Linked DNA regions of Callithrix jacchus. The protein of the gene in region 1 interacts with the protein of each later gene in a biochemical or structural test. Links are inferred from orthologs where the notes say so. Each region holds a gene or a part of one and is shown on either strand. Other genes may lie near its edges.

Region 1 (7,827 bases):
GACACAGTGACTGTTCTTTCTAAGGCAGCTACTATTGGCTCAATAAACACTGATTTCCAACTACTTTACTTTTTCTTGCTTCCATCATGAAAGACAAATAGCTAAATAATGAATCTCCTACTACTCAAATCAAATAGTTCCTGAATTTCAGAAAGTAAGTGGTCTGAGTTGGAAGAATAAGAATCTGGTTAGTGAAGACCACCTACATCTGCTTTTCAACCTTCCTAATAGCCAGAGAATGGCTATGTGAAATAGTTCCAAATCTGCTGGTATTCCTGGGAAGGCTTTTGCTTTTCCAGAGAAAAAGACAAGACACACAGTCCTGTCTCCTCCCTTCCTTCCAGCTTTAAGTAAAGATGTGACAGAGATGCTGTTTCTAAATAATTATCATTCTAGTCACACAAAAACCTTAAAAATATATGCCATCTAGCTGTATCCTCCTTTGTTCTATCATCAGGCAACACCTAATACTCTGCCTATACCTCATTATTTAATGAACACAAGAAGGCCTGGTTCATGACCCCATATTCCATTGCATCCTTATGAAAGGATCCACCCAAATCCCTAGTATGAATTTCAGTTCCTTGAAATCTTCAGTTACTTTTACTTACATTATTCCCTTTGGCTACACACTCTTATAGGCATATCCTTACCATATCAACTGCAACCTATAAAATACTTATTTTGAATATTTTTCCTCTTTGAGTTGCTTCTCACATCCACCCCGACATTCACTCTATAACTCCCTTACATATGGTTTAATTACCTTGCTATTACCTCCATCCCCTCGCCATCCTTTTTTCTCATATATAAGTGCCCCCTCCAGAATTAGCTAATTAACAGAGTTAACAAATAATTATGAAATCCATATACTGTAAAAGGAGCAAGACTACAGAGGAAAACCAGACACAGTACAGACTTCAAAGAACTTAATATCATGGTAGTGCAAACAGATACCAATTCAAGAACCAAACCCAAAAATATTTAAAAATTGTGACAAATTTTAAAAAGTTAAGGCATTGATTAAGAGAATAATGTACGTAGGAAGATGGGGCAGGTCAACGAAGGCTTCTTCTAGGAGGTGATGTTTGAGCCAAGCCCTCGAGGATGAGAAGAGTAGCTGACAGAAGAGCACATTGTACGGAAGGGAAAAAGTGTGCAAAGGCCCGTTCTCTGTGATGTACCCTCTGTCCTTTTCCCTTTCCTGTTCTCACTGTGCTGGTCTTCTATCTCTCGGCCAGGCTCTTACTCAAATCCTCATCTTGTATCTTTCCTTCCTTCTTTCCCCTACAATTTTTCTCTTTCCCTTTTAGCCAGCACATAATATAGAACTAAAGATTGGTTTAATAATTTTTACACTTGATATTTAATGGTTTAATAATTTTTAAATTATTATAAGATAAATAATTAACTTATATATTAACTTTTTTTAAAGTAGGCTGAATGTCTAATTTTTTTTAATTGAAAATCTGCAAAATTTCATTTTGTGCCACTCAACTGATTTTCTTCCATGTGAATCAGTGTAATTTTACTAGAGTGAAAAGCAAACATGCATAATTAAGCTGATGATAAGTAAAATAAAGTTCAACTTCACATAATTACTTTTACAATAGTTTTCTGGCATGTAAACTAAAACCATACCTAACTTAACCAAATGTTATGGAACAGATTGTCCCTAAGCATCCATAAAAATATTAAATATTTTGTTTATCCTTTATATAGCTATAAATCTGTCCGAAGATTTTAAATAAGTATAATTGTAGAAAAAAACCTCATAGTTCCAAAGTGATGGCTTCTATAAAGTCCCACTAGAATGTTACATTTAGTAATATTAGTGTATAATATCTTTAAAGTATCCATACCTTGTTGTCTTCCCAATAAAGTGCAAAACATTCATCTCCAGGTTTCCACATTTTTGCATACTCCATAGGAATAGATGATTCTAGTATTTTTTCTGGCTTAATTGGCCCAGATCTTCTTTTGGGACCACTATTATAAAACATTTTATCATCATAGGATATAGCTGTGATAGGTCCTGCTGGCTTAATAGGTCCTATTCGTCTTCCTTTCAGCGGCATTTCTACCTCTCCATTTGGAACACCGATGAAACTATTACTTCGAACTGGATTCTGATAATCAGTATTTACATTAAAATGTTTTTCAATTTTTTGACCACTGAAAGCTTCATTATTTATTGTTCGTGATCTCCTGTCATAAAAATGATCAGGATTAGATGTTTGGTTTTCTCTTTTTCCACGTTTTTGATTATTATAATCTATAGATTCTTGAGGACGTGGATTTTCTTTTGCATCTGCATAGGAGGGACCTTTTCCTGATCTGCTTTGCATAGAGTTATCTCTTTTTTTAAAAGCACCATCACTATGCTGAGAACGTAAAGGATACGAAGTATCTTTAGTTCTGTCATATCTAGAATATGGTCTATCACATTTGATTCTGTCTTCGGCCCATACTTCAGATGCTGAAGAAGTACCTGGTCTTTCAGAATCTCTATTTCTAGGTAATCCACTGCCTTCTAAAACTGACTTTGAATTTTGGGAGTCTCTTTGAAAACGAGGTGGTTTTTCATTTCTTGGCTGCCTGGTATCATTTCGAGGAAGAAATCTCAGTTGATTAGTATCTTTTATTCCATTTTGCTCAGTATTTGATGATCTGTATTGTCCCTGATGAAGCTGCTGTGGCTGTGATTTAGGTTCTGAAAGGTAAAAGTATACCATATGCACATTAACATGAAGACTCTGCATTAATAATTATTTTTAAATGCTTCAAATTATTCTGTTAATACAAAATTATCACACTACTATTTTAAAATCTTTGTCAATTTTCCTTCCTTATTATCTTACTCCTTCTCTGCCTCCTTGGAGTCCTGTATTTTTAATGTACAGTTTTCTTAGTCAGCAATATTAATAAAGTAAAGCAGTAAAATGGACCACAGAAAAGTGATGGATAATCCAAATTCTTATAATACAGCTGCCTACATATGCTATTCTGGTAAATAATTTCCTAAAACATTAATGAGGTCGGGTGTGGTGGCTCACGCCTGTAATCCCAGAACTTTGGGAGGCCGAGGTGGGCGGATCACCAGAGGTCAGGAGACTGAGACCATCCTGGTCAACTTGGTGAAACCATGACTCTACTAAAAAATTAGCCAGGTGTGGTGGCATGCACCTGTAGTTCCAGCTACTCAGGAGGCTGAGGCAGGACAATCACTTGAACCCAGTAGGCAGAGGTTGCAATAAGCCAAGATCCCGCACTGCACTCCAGCCTGAGTAACATAGAGAGACTCAGTCACAAAAACAAACAAACAAACAAAATTAATGAAATAGAACTACAAATTGCCAACTCAAAAACTACTATGAAACTGCACAAGTACAACCCTGTTCATCTCTTTCTGAATGCCACTCTAATTTAGAAATATAGAGCTATTATCAATCATGTTCTAGCCTTTGCAAACATGTTCCTTTTCAAATCCTTCTGGATCTGGAATTGCTAAGTGTTTATGTTACAAACAGATATCCTACTACTAAAAAAGAGTAAGAGTTAATTTTCTAGATCTGTTAAAGTAATTAAGTAAGAGTAGGTATTATTTGGAAATACAGAAAAAAGTGTCAAAAGTGGAAATACTGAAAAGGTGTCAAAACATTACTAAGCATAATAGTGCATATAATGTACAAGCAGTGACATGATAAACATATATAGAAAAATTTTAATGGCTGAATTTCACAGTGATTTTTATTGATTCAATTTGTACAGTGTAATTTATACTTTCTTCCTCCATCATTTCACATTGCATGTCTATAACATTATAACCAAATATATTCATTGATCTTTGGTGCATATGTCTTGTTTCTGTTGTCATATATCATAATCAACACGCAGCTGTAATTATTCTTATATTTCCCCAGGGTCACAACATTTCCAAAGAGAGCCTCTACTGATATCTTGGGTGAGATTGTTTCCAAAGATGTAAGGAAATTAACTGCAAGAAAATTAACTTCTTTGGCCTACAGATACAAAATGCCCCTAGCATCCCCAGGCACTCTGACTATCAAAACTGTCCCCAAACATTTCCAAACAGCCACTGGAGGCCAAAAGGTATCTGGTAAATTGTTTAAAACAACAGGAATAAAGGTTTAAAGGTTACTGAGTGACAAAACAGGTAACCAATTAAAGATCAAGACACAAGTGGTCAGGCCAGGCATGGTAGCTTGCACCTGTAATCCCAGCACTTTGGGAGGCTGAGGTGAGTATATCACTTGAGGCCAGGAGTTTGAGACCAGCCTAGGCAATGTGGTGAAACCTTGTCCCTACTAAAAATACAAAAATTAGCTGGGTGTGGTGGTGCACACCTGTAATCCCAGCTACTCTGGAAGCTGAGGCAGGATAATCACTTGAACCCGGGAGGCGGAGGTTGCAGTGAGATGAGACCATGCCACTGCACTCCAGCCTGGGTGACAGAGCAAAAAACTCTGTCTCAAAAAAAAAAAAAAAAAAGAGAGACTCAAATGGTCCAAAAAACCCCTTCTCAACAGAACCAATGGAAGCTAGAAGCCAAAAGGGTTTAAGTATCTTTAACATTTTAGGAGATTTTCTAAGGAAAAAAATTAATCCAGTTAAACCACCCCTTAATCATGACAAAGAATAAAGATTTTCCTAAGATACAAGATTTCAAAAATTAGCCAAGGCCATAAGAGATTTCTTAAAAAAAATAAAAATAAAAACACTTTCCCCCAAGAATATCTGCCTTATAAACTTAACGTAAATGTCATATTTTAACAAATGTAGTCAATATTGAATTTTTCTTTAGAGAGAAGAAAAATGGTCACTTTAAGTTTCTGCTGGCATTGTTTACTGTCCAGGAGTAAAGACTCTGGGAAGAACAGTGGTGACCATAATCAGGACATAAACAAGTGCTTTCAGCAGAAGGCATGTATTGGCTTTTTTCCCAGACATTATTGGAAAATAAAAGCAGCAGTTGCCTCCTGTTGACTGGTTGATTATCTGCTAGGTTCAGTTAGCCCACACTAGTACTTTATATACATTATCAATAGACCCCTAGGTCGTTTTATGATACAGGTGTTATGAGGCTTATCAGAGAGAGGTAAAGTAAGGTCCTTGTATAGTACATTAAATAAGTAACTGTTTAGGGATCAACTTTTCTTAAATTATTCCAGTTAGGGCCACCAATATCTTTGATAATCAGGAGGTACAGAAAAAATTAAGATACACGAAAGTAATAAGTATCCTGGACTACAGATGAAGGCTGAATAACGATGTACAAAGAATGAAAGTTCAATCAGGCTTGGCAGGTGTGGCAGAATTTGATTTCAATTCTTCTAAAAGGAAAATATGAAAAATTTCCTAATCTACAATTTAGAATTAAGGGGTATTTCCCTACACACATATAGTTTAAAAGTGAAGAGATGAAAGAAGATGTACCATGCTAAGAAAAAAAACAGAATTAAGGGGTACTATGGATCTAAGGAACTATCCTGGAGAACTATATTAATAGGAAAATGTAAAATGTCTTCATTTTGTTCCGGATGCAAATTACTTAAAGAACTTCTGATTTTTTTTTTATTATTGTTTTTACTAACATTTAACACTTTCATTTATGTACTCAAGCAGTCTTGTATCAAAAGTACTATCTCAGAAAAGAGAATGACAAATTCCCTAACAGCTTATTATTTAACAAATAAACAAGCCTAGGAAACTTCTGATAGTAAAGAGGAAAAATCATTCCATTTAGAACTTAAGATATTATTTTCAGTTACTGAATTAATGATGATATACATTAGACTATAGAATAAAAGAAGTAATTTTGTTAATAATGAACATACCTCATTTCCATTACTATGCTGAGATAATATAGTAAGAGTAAAATTTATAAATAAAATTATTTTTTAAAAATAAGAATTCCTGGCCAGGCATGGTGGCTCACCCCCATAATCCCAGCACTTTGGGAGGCCGAGGCGGTGGATCACCTGAGGTCAGAAGTTCGAGACCATCCTGGTCAACATGGTGAAACCCCAACTCTACTAAAAACGCAAAAATTAGTCAGTCTTGGTGGAGTGGCCCTGTAATTCCAGTTACTTGAGAGGCTGAAGGGGAGAACTGCTTGAACCTGGGAGGTGGAGGCTGCAGTGAGTCGAGATGGCACCACTACACTCTAGCCTGGATGACAGAGCGAGACCCCGTCTCAAAAAAAAAAAGTTTTTTTTGTTTTTTTGTTTTTTTTTTGAGATGGAAACTTGTTGTCGCCCAGGCTGGAGTGCAGTGGCATGATCTTGGCTCACTGTAACTTCTGCCTCCCCCGGGGGCTCAAGTGATTCTCTTGCCTCTGCCTCCCAAGTAGCTGGGATTATAGGCACCCACCACCACGCCCAGGTAATTTTTGTATTTTTAGTAGAGACGGGGTATTACCATGTTGGCCAGGCTGGTCCCGAACTCCTGACCTCATGATCCACCCACCTCAGCCTCCCAAAGTGCTGGGATTACAGGTGTGAGCCACTGTTCCCGGCCGTAAATTGTGTTTTCAAAATAAGTTAGTTTTCATATATATCCATTTCATTCAAAATGAAATAACAGCTAAGAAGTCATCTTGGATTCCTAATCAGTCTTGGATTCATCATCCAATCATTCTTGGATTTCCTTAAGCCCAGTACATTTTAGGTTAGTTAAATCATAAAGTCATATATAAAGTAAGTGTTTTCAAACTGGGCTTATCTATGAAACACATAACAAATATACTCAATTACTAAATTGTGGGAGAGGCAATATTTTTTCCTTTTTTTTTTTTTTTTTTTGAGATGGAATCTCACTCTGTCACCCAGGCTGGAGTGCAGTGGAGAGATCTTGGCTCGTTGCGCAGGTTCAAGCGATTCTCTGCCTCAGCCTTCCAAGTAGCTGTGATTACAGGTGCAGGCCACTACGCCTAGCTAATTGTATTTTTAGTAGAGACGGGGTATCACCATGTTGGCCAGGCTGGTCTCGAACTCCTGACCTCAAGTGATCTGCCCAGCTCGGCCTCCCTAAGTGTTGGGATTACCGTGAGCCAACATGCTCAGCAATTTTAAATAAACTAAGGAATATACTCCAAATCAATTGCGAAGACAGCTCCTTGGTTACCCAGTCAGAATCTGATTGTTCTCCTCTACCCTTTTTGAGGTGGCATCATGACTCTAAACTACATTAGATACCAAATGTGCAGCACAGGTCAAGTCTATAATCACTCTAATAAATATACTAAGATATTCTTCCATACAGGCAGCAGGCTAAAATGCATCACATTTTTTTTAAATTGCCCCAAAGGAAAGGTTGAAAACAAAAGCACAAGTAGAAATGAGTAACATTTAACATTAAAAAGCAGAAAATATAAAAGATTGGCAAAAAAGTGATAGAAAAATGTATTACGGGCCCGGCACAGTGCCTCACGCCTGTAATCCCAGCACTTTGGGAGGCCAAGGTAGGTGGATCACTTGAGATCAGGAGTTTGAGACTAGCCTGACCAACATGATAAAACCTCGTCTCTATTAAAAATACAAAATTAGCTGGGCATGGTGGTGCACGCCTGTAGTGCCAACTATTCAGGAGGCTGAGGCAGGAGAATTGCTTGACCCTGGGAGGCGAAGGCTGCAGTGAACAGAAATGGCACCACTGCATTCCAGCCTGGGCAACAGAGCAAGACTCCATCTCAAAAAAACAAAAAGAAAAATGTATTACAAAATAGACAAAACTGTGAAAACACCTCAAAGATCTAAAAGATCAAACAATCAAGGTGGGGAAAGCTCCTATGAGAAAACTAATCAA
Region 2 (7,827 bases), about 140 Mb from region 1:
GAGGGTCCTCTGATGAGGGGCAGGCCAGAGGCAGACTCTACCTGCAATGGAGTCGACAAAGTAGTGGAACTTCCTCTTGAACACGTCCAGGGTGTGGCCCAGGACCTGGCGGTAGTCGGCCTTGCCCTGGGCGATCAGGTTCAGCTGCTTCTCCACTGCACTTCGGATGGTGGGGAGCACTAGCTCTGCATCTGCAAGTGGGCAGGGGGCAGATACTTCCCTGAGCACTCATGCCCAGAGCCTGCCCACCCCTCCTGCTCCGGCCCGTCCTCCTGGCCTCTGCCCTGTCCGCCAGTCCACAGCCTCAGATGGTACCAGGCTGGCTCCTATACCCCCAGACCTTTCCTGACTTCTCACCCGGAAATCTCAGGCAGAGTGCCCGGTGGCTAGAACCACATCACAGATGAGCTCCAGGCTGCCCTTGGGCCAGTTCTGTGCTCCTCCCTCTCCCCTTGGCCTCTGGGGAACCTCCAGAGGATAGAGCTGAGGCACCTTCGCCTCCTCTTTTGGTTCCCTCACACATGTCCATTCAGCTTTCAAACACACCCAGCTCCTGCTCTGGGCAGGTCCTGGGGGTCCTGGGGAAGCGCCCCTTCAGTGGTGTTGAGGGAGTGCATGTGGGGCTGGGGGATCACTCCAGGGCAGGGCCTGTCTGGAGGGGGCGGCAGAGCCAATGCCCAGGGAGAAGCTAGGAATTCCCGGTGAACCCTGGGGGCAGGGCCGAGGGACTCACCAATCTTGTAGTAGCCGTGCACCAGGACAATGCCGAGGTTGGTGGGTTTGAGCCGGCGCCCGCTCTCCACGGTGACATAGTTGCGCTGGCAGATGTTGTTGATATGCACAGGGATGCTGGCATCTGTGCCTGCAACGTACAAGGCCCCAGGGTTCCTGGCCTACCCTGGACACGCCTCACTGAACTACATGCTGTAGCCACTGCCACAGGGCCCCTGGTGCTCAGGCTCTCTCACGGCTCCTGGCCACCCACAGGAGGGAGGGCTGTGCTCTGAGCACCCACTGCACTGTGCTGGGCATCAACTGCATGCCTTTCATGTTCTGCCTTGAGAACACAAGGGCAGCCCTCTCTGCACGGGGTCTACTCCTGCTTTATGGTAGAGGCTCGGAGGTTAAGGAACTCTCCAAGGTCACAGTGCTTATTCTGTGCCTGGTAAACGTGACTTCTTTGGCTTCTCCTGCCTGGATCCTGTGGCACCCACCTGGTCCTGGAGCCAGAGCCCCCTCTACCAGAACATGGAGGTGCTTACAAGCTCACTGCAAAGACACTTCCTGTCTCCCATCTCCTCCCTCTCTGCAAGGCCTGTCACGGTACACAGGGCAGGCTCCCAGTCCCCAGGATTCCTCTCTCCCACCCAGAGCCTTCCTGGCAGAGGGGCGCAGCAGAGGCTGAGGCATTCTGACTATGGTGGGTGCCAGTCAGAGGGGCAGAAAAGAAGCTTAGGCTCCCTGCACTCTCACCAGCATGGGCAGGTGACATACACCTTCCCAAAGCAGCTTGCAGAGAATATCACATGGGAAGAAACTGGCCTCCAGGGGCTAAGGAGCCTGTCGAAGCTCGGCACCTGGTGTGGCAGGCTGTGGGTAGTATGTGCTGCCACCATGTGAGTCTGCCAGGTGCCATGATGTGTGGTATGGGCTCCTCTGCAGCATGTGCCCTGCCCGCTGTATTCTCACCCCAGACCTGGGTGGCGGCTCCTGGTTAGGCCCCTTTTACACACTCCTGGGGGCTCAGTCACAGGCTCAGACCATTCTCCTGTTCAGAAGGTAACACCAGAGCCCTCTTCACTGTCACAAACTTGTATTGGTGATTGGGTCTTGCTCACTGGATACCATAGGGCTGCCAGGAGCCACAGTAACCCATCAGTGGGAGAGAGCAGAAGACGCAGGGGGAGCACAGCCCACACTCCACAGTGGGCTGAGGGCTGCTATTTCAGGACCTTGGCAGGTGCCCTGGACCTCTGGGAGGAGCAAGCCCAGAGCTCTGCTCTCCTGCCAAGGTTGCCACAGTCACCAGGACCCTAGCCTGGGGAGAGACACTCCCTGAGAGTCCACCTCTATGACCACTGCTGGAGCAGAGCCTGGACACAGTGGCTGTGACATCCCACAGGCCTCTGGAACCCATCAGCCAGGCACAGCTGGAGATGAAGCCACAGGCAACAGGCAGTGCCCAGCAGTGCGAGTGCCACCTGGGAGAAGGTTCTGTCAATGAGGCTGGCCCCCAACATATGAGACCTCACTCAGCCCTAGGCCTGAGGACTTGTGAGGCCACCTCTCCTGTGAGGAGTGTGCACTGGTGACTACATTTTTGCTTTGATAAACTCCCCTGGGCTGCCCATTCTTGGTTAGAAACTTCTTGGTCACCCTTTGGGGAGCCCTGTCCCTTGGACAGGCATTTCTGTTCCCTCCGCCAGGGAAGCAGTTCCTGTGAGAGCTCATTTCCCTGTCATGTGACTTCAGGACAGACCAGGCTGGCTGTGTGGACTGAGGAGACTGCCAAAATGATTTCTATGAGCCATTTGGCATCTGGGCCAATCGTCAGCACTGTGGGCATTAGTCAGTGTGTGCCCACCCCACAGTGCACGAGGGCACATCTGGGCCTTCACAGAGAAGGCCAGGTTCTGAGTGGAGGCCTCGGGAGGGGATGCCTGCTGTGGACCTGCAAGGCTGGCCACATGTGGGGTCATCAGTTTCCAGATACCAGTCCATGGATGGGTGCTGGGCTAGGCACATAGGGGTGGCTGGGCAGCTTTGTGAGTAGACTCTCAGCCTGAGTGCTGGAGACAGAGCTGGCTCTGGGGCCTGGGCAGGCATACCCACCGATGCCGTGCTTCTCCATGAGCGTGATGAGCTCAGCCTCCGTCAGGTAGTCGGGTGGGCTCGTCTGCTTCTCCAGCATCTTTACCTCACTCACAGTGAAGGTGTCACCCCGCTGGCAGGTGGGCAGGCTCTCCTCCAGGGGCACGCTCTGCCAGGGCATAATCTCCGTGAAGCCTGGAAAGACAGGTGCCACCACTCAGGGTCCCCAGCCTTGAGGGGCCTGGGTCTCAGACCCTGGGCCTCCCATTCCCAGACACAATGTAGAATGGTTTTTTTTTGTCTGCCCATGAAGGTGGGGAGGAGGAAAGCTGGGCCCGCAGTGTGACCTGGTGAGAGGACGGTCTTCCCAGAGCAGGTGAAGAGCTCTGGCCCAATCCTGAAGGAGATGGTGCTCTGCAGGTACTTGCAGTCATGGCTGACTGTGGCGATGAAATGTCTGGTGATGTATTCGTAGAGCCGCCATGCGTCACCCCCTGCAACAGGCCAGGGCTAGTTAGCTGGGAGCCAGCTGAAGGCTCTGATCGTGAGGAGCCCCTAGCACTCTTGCTTGAGCAGCAAGGTCCTGCTTCCAGGGCCACTGTGTGGGACACACTGCAAATTCAGGGAAGCAGGAAAGAAAATGTGCAGGAAGGCTGGACGCGGTGGCTCACACCTGTAATCCCAGCACTTTGGGAGGCTAAGGCAAACTCCTACTTGAAGTCAGGAGTTTGAGACCAGCGTGGCCAACATGGTGAAATCCTGTCTCTACTAAAAATACAAAGAAATTAGCCGGGTGTGATGGTAGGCACCTGTAATCCCAGCTACTCAGGAGGCTGAGGCAGGAGAACTCCTTGAACTTGGGAGACATAGGTTGCAGTGAGCTGAGATCAGGCCACTGCACTCCAGCCTGGGTGACAGAGCAAGACTCTGTCTCAAAAAAAGAAGAAAATGTGGAGGAAGGGAACACAAACCTCTGTGCCTCAGTGGTTCCTTCATGGCTGCAGCTCCTCCCACCCTGCACAACCTCTTGCCCCTGCTTCTGGCAGGACTATTCTTCAGGTGTGGGCCTATCCTTCTACTGTCTCGTGACATGACACCATCACTTCAAATTCAGACTGTCCACAAGTGGCCCCTGTCTCTACCTGCACTGCTCTCCCTTCCTCATCTGCCTTCTCCTGGCACTTGGACCACTGGTACCACCTCAGGCCAGCTGGGAGGTAGGAGGCACCCCCTACACCCCACCGCTGAAACCTGCCACTCTCTGCCTTGGTTTCATTTATGTCCCCTGTATCGTCTGCCCCCGTGCCTCCCTGCAACAGCCACCTGCACCTGCTGCCACCTCTTCATTCCTGGCCTGTTCCCACAGTAATGAAGCTCATTTTCCAGGTGACTCCCCCCTTGCCCCAGCCAGGGCAGGCAGGGGCTGAAGGAGCCCCACATTGCCAGCAGGGCCTGCAACCTTCACTGTCGAAGCTTGCCTTTCCCTCCCTGGAAGCATGGCAGGTATGGGGTGAGAGGGGTACCTAATTCAGCTTCTGTGGCAGACCTCATGGGGGTGATGGGGGGATGGTCGCCGGCATCGTGGCCTTTCCGTGGGCGGTTGATACCTTCTGCTAACAACCGCTTTACCTGAGGGAGAGAAGACAGAGCAGAGTCTGTGGCTGGGCTCGGCTGCCTGCCTGGGTTTGGCTCAAGTACCAGACCTGGTCCTAAGGCCTCAGTGACACATACACATGTGGGGGCCGGCCTGGCTCAACTCACCATGTCAGCCCAGTAGGGGTGGTTGGCCTGCTGCCGCAGAGCACCCTTCAGGTCAAAGTTCTCAGGGTAGTGGGTGGTCTCTGTACGTGGGTAGCTGATGTAGCCTTGTGTGTAGAGCCGCTCGGCTGTCTGCATGGCGTGCTGTGGTCCCATGCCTGTGAGAGACAGGAGGCTCTCAGAGGGTCAGGTGCCTACCCTGATCTGTGTACTCAGGCTCCCCGCAAGGTGGCCAGCCCCTCCTGGAGGGTAAGGGTGGCTCTGGACAGGCATGGCTAGAGTGCAGAGCTGCTGGCCAGGTGGGCACCTATGCCACACAGCCTTGTCTGAGGTTGAATCCTGCACCTGTGAGAGTGGGTCCAGGAGGGGCCTGATGGGAAACGCTGCTCACTCAGGACTCGTGGCCATGGGGATAAGACATGGCCTTCAGAGCACTGCTCCCTACGCACTGGCCACGGAGCCATAACCATGCCTCGGGTTGGCTGACGGCAGAGTTAGCACATAGCCCATTTTGAGCCCTTGGGTATTTCTGTCCTCATGGCACTCTGGGGCCACTGAGGGGGGCTCGCCTTGTTATTTCCTGGCCAGCAGAGGCTGGCACTTAGCTAGCAACCACTCCCAGCATTGCTGCCCTCTGATGCCACCACTCTGAGAGGACACTGCCAATAGTTCCCTGCAGGGGGGCACCAATGCCTAGGGGCTGACAGCTTCCAGAGACCACCAGCTTTCCAGCCCAACCCCCTCCTAACTACTGCGGAGACAAGGCTGAAAGGAGACCAGGCTGATAGGCGACGTTCACACTAGTTCCCAGAAGGTGACATAGCTGCTCAGGGACTCTAACATCAGGATGTCCCCTCAGGGGGTGACCAACTTTAACACCTTTACAACCTAAGGAGTGAAATCCTCACGAGGCTCAGATCTTGAAACCTCAGGCACCACCTTGCCTCCTTGGGCACTCACTGCTCCAGGCTGAACCTGCTTCTACAAGCCTGCCTTAGGAAGCCTTCTGGAGACTAAATTTAGAGAAATGTCCCTACTTACCCAGAGAAGAGCTGGCTACACGCAACATCTCCACAGTGTTCAGGGCCAGAGGCCTCTGCTTGGCCTTTTCTTTCCTGCTTGTGGCCTCCACCTGGAAGACAGGATAGTCAGTGATTTGGGGGAGGAGGAAGATACCACCATAGATGAAATCAAGATGTGTGGATAATGAGCTTAGGAATTCTCTTAAAAAAAAATAAAGAAGTGTGGACAAAGGGTCTGGTCTCATTCATTTGGTCTCCCTGCTTCTCCAATTCATTTCTTCTCAACAGTTTAAAGACTTGATTGAATATTTATTCAGGACCAGGACCAGGAAGGGTAAAAGAATAAAAATTTTCTTTAAAAAAGAATTTTTTAAGAGACAGGCTGGAGTGTCTATTGCCCAGGCTGGAGTGCAGCGGTACCGTCAGAGCTTACCCTCAGGTACCATCAGCCTTGAACTCCTGGGTCAAGTGATCTTCCTGCCTCAGCCTCCTGAATAGCTGAAACCACAGGAACACACCATCATACCTGACCAATTTTTTATTTTTTCAATTTCTTGTACAGACAGTATCTTGTTATGTTGCCCAGGCTAGTCTTAAACTCTTGGCCTCAAGTGATCCTCTCACCTCAGCTTCTCAAAGTGCTAGGATTACAGGCATGTGCCACCATGTCCAGCTACTTTAAAAAAATTTTTTTTTTTTTTTGAGACAGGGTCTTCCTGTGTTCCAGGCTGGTCTCAAACTCCTGGCCTCAAGTGATTGAATATTCTTTTCTGAGAATTTTCTAGGGGAATAGAAAACCTGGAAGACTGAGGAGGAGTCAGAAGAGCTGCAGATGGAAATCCTACAGAAGCCAGCATCAGCCAGGCTACAGGGAGGGCAAGTGGGGCCCGTCCCAGGACAGTGCTGCTCCTTGCTGTGGGGAGGGCTGCTGCCTGTGCCTGGTAGTACTGCTACCTCTTCTGATTTTTCAAGAGAAGCTAGAAGGTAGAATTTTCGTGTGAAATCTCCTAATTTTTAAGTACTGGTAACTGCTCTGGCATTTCTGTAAATACCTCATAGGCAGTGAAGTGCACCCGTGAGCTGTGCTTGACTGGGGTCCCACCACTGTCTACCTCTGCTGAGCATTTGTTCAAAGAGACACCTCTTTGTTTTGCCTACGGCAAGAACAATCCAAACAACTCAACTCCTTGCCCTTGCCAAACCCACGTAGGCTGGTCAGGGCAGTGCCTTCTGCATTCCTGACTGACAGATGTGGGTGCTAACATGGAGATCAGCTGTTATGCAGCAGGGAGTCTGGGCTCCCTGAAGTAAGGGCGGGAGGCGGCGACAGTGTCTCTCCAGGAATGTGATCAATGCTGACAGGCTGGAGCAGCTTTAGAAGTCTCAGATGTCTGAGACCTTTTGCTGCCATGGCATGGCGGGCAAAAGTGCACTCAAGGAAGGTCGAAGAAGGACAAGGAGAAAGCGGCTAAGGAGGCCAGGCTGTGTCTCAATGGATCTGGTAGCTGTCATGCCTGTAGCATGTTTACTTCAGTAGCCACAGATGGGTCCCCAACCTGTGCAGCCAGGTCACCTCATCCTTTTCCTAACAACCAAGCAGCATGTCCTTCAATTCATAGAAACCCTGAGTAAGAAACGTAATCCCATAAAAACATGCAAGCTGATTAAATTGGGATCTCCAGCCTCTCCCCTGCTAGCTGTGACCTTGGGCAAGTTCATCAACATGCACACAGGTCCTTCTACAGTTGCTAGCTTGAATCTCTGTGTGAAATGAAGACCTGCCACAAGGGAGTAATAGGTCACATGAAAAGGGGAGAGTGGAAGGGGCCTGACAAAGTCACAGGTGTACACAGCGCCTGGTATGGAGTGGCCACGCAGTACATTGTGGCATTGGGCAGAAATATCTTAGTAGGAGTATATGGGGGAGTAACCATTCCACTTTCCAAAAAGATGGCTGTGTTTCAGAAAGGGGGAGAAAGATGTGGACTATGGTCACAGGCTGTTCCTCCAGTGGGAGCCATCTGAGGCCCACCCTCACCCAAGGCAACTGTGATAGGTGTGGGTGGAGCAGGCGCACCTGGGCTTCCTTCTCCAGCTTTGTCATGTTTAAAAACATCTGTGCAATCTCCCGGTCGAACACTCTTACTCGGTCCCAGTCCAAAAGGAGAGATCTGTCTTTGTCAGTGTTAACCTGCGGGAAAAAGGATAAAGCGTGAACACACAAGAAAAAGTCTCC

The links.
Region 2: the proteins of TDRD3 (region 1) and TOP3B form a complex in vitro, tested with the Homo sapiens proteins (2 studies listed by BioGRID and IntAct, with this or other methods). The link is inferred for Callithrix jacchus from reciprocal best matches to the Homo sapiens genes TDRD3 and TOP3B.

The regions. Positions count from the first base shown.
Region 1 is NC_133502.1:55,108,286-55,116,112, forward strand, and holds part of TDRD3 (tudor domain-containing protein 3), read right to left. Parts: intron 2,714-7,827; coding exon 1,863-2,713; intron 1-1,862. UniProt on the Homo sapiens protein: Scaffolding protein that specifically recognizes and binds dimethylarginine-containing proteins. Plays a role in the regulation of translation of target mRNAs by binding Arg/Gly-rich motifs (GAR) in dimethylarginine-containing proteins.
Region 2 is NC_133502.1:193,909,878-193,917,704, forward strand, and holds part of TOP3B (DNA topoisomerase 3-beta-1), read right to left. Parts: intron 7,783-7,827; coding exon 7,669-7,782; intron 5,702-7,668; coding exon 5,611-5,701; intron 4,728-5,610; coding exon 4,573-4,727; intron 4,441-4,572; coding exon 4,335-4,440; intron 3,306-4,334; coding exon 3,159-3,305; intron 3,007-3,158; coding exon 2,833-3,006; intron 863-2,832; coding exon 734-862; intron 192-733; coding exon 42-191; intron 1-41. UniProt on the Homo sapiens protein: Releases the supercoiling and torsional tension of DNA introduced during the DNA replication and transcription by transiently cleaving and rejoining one strand of the DNA duplex.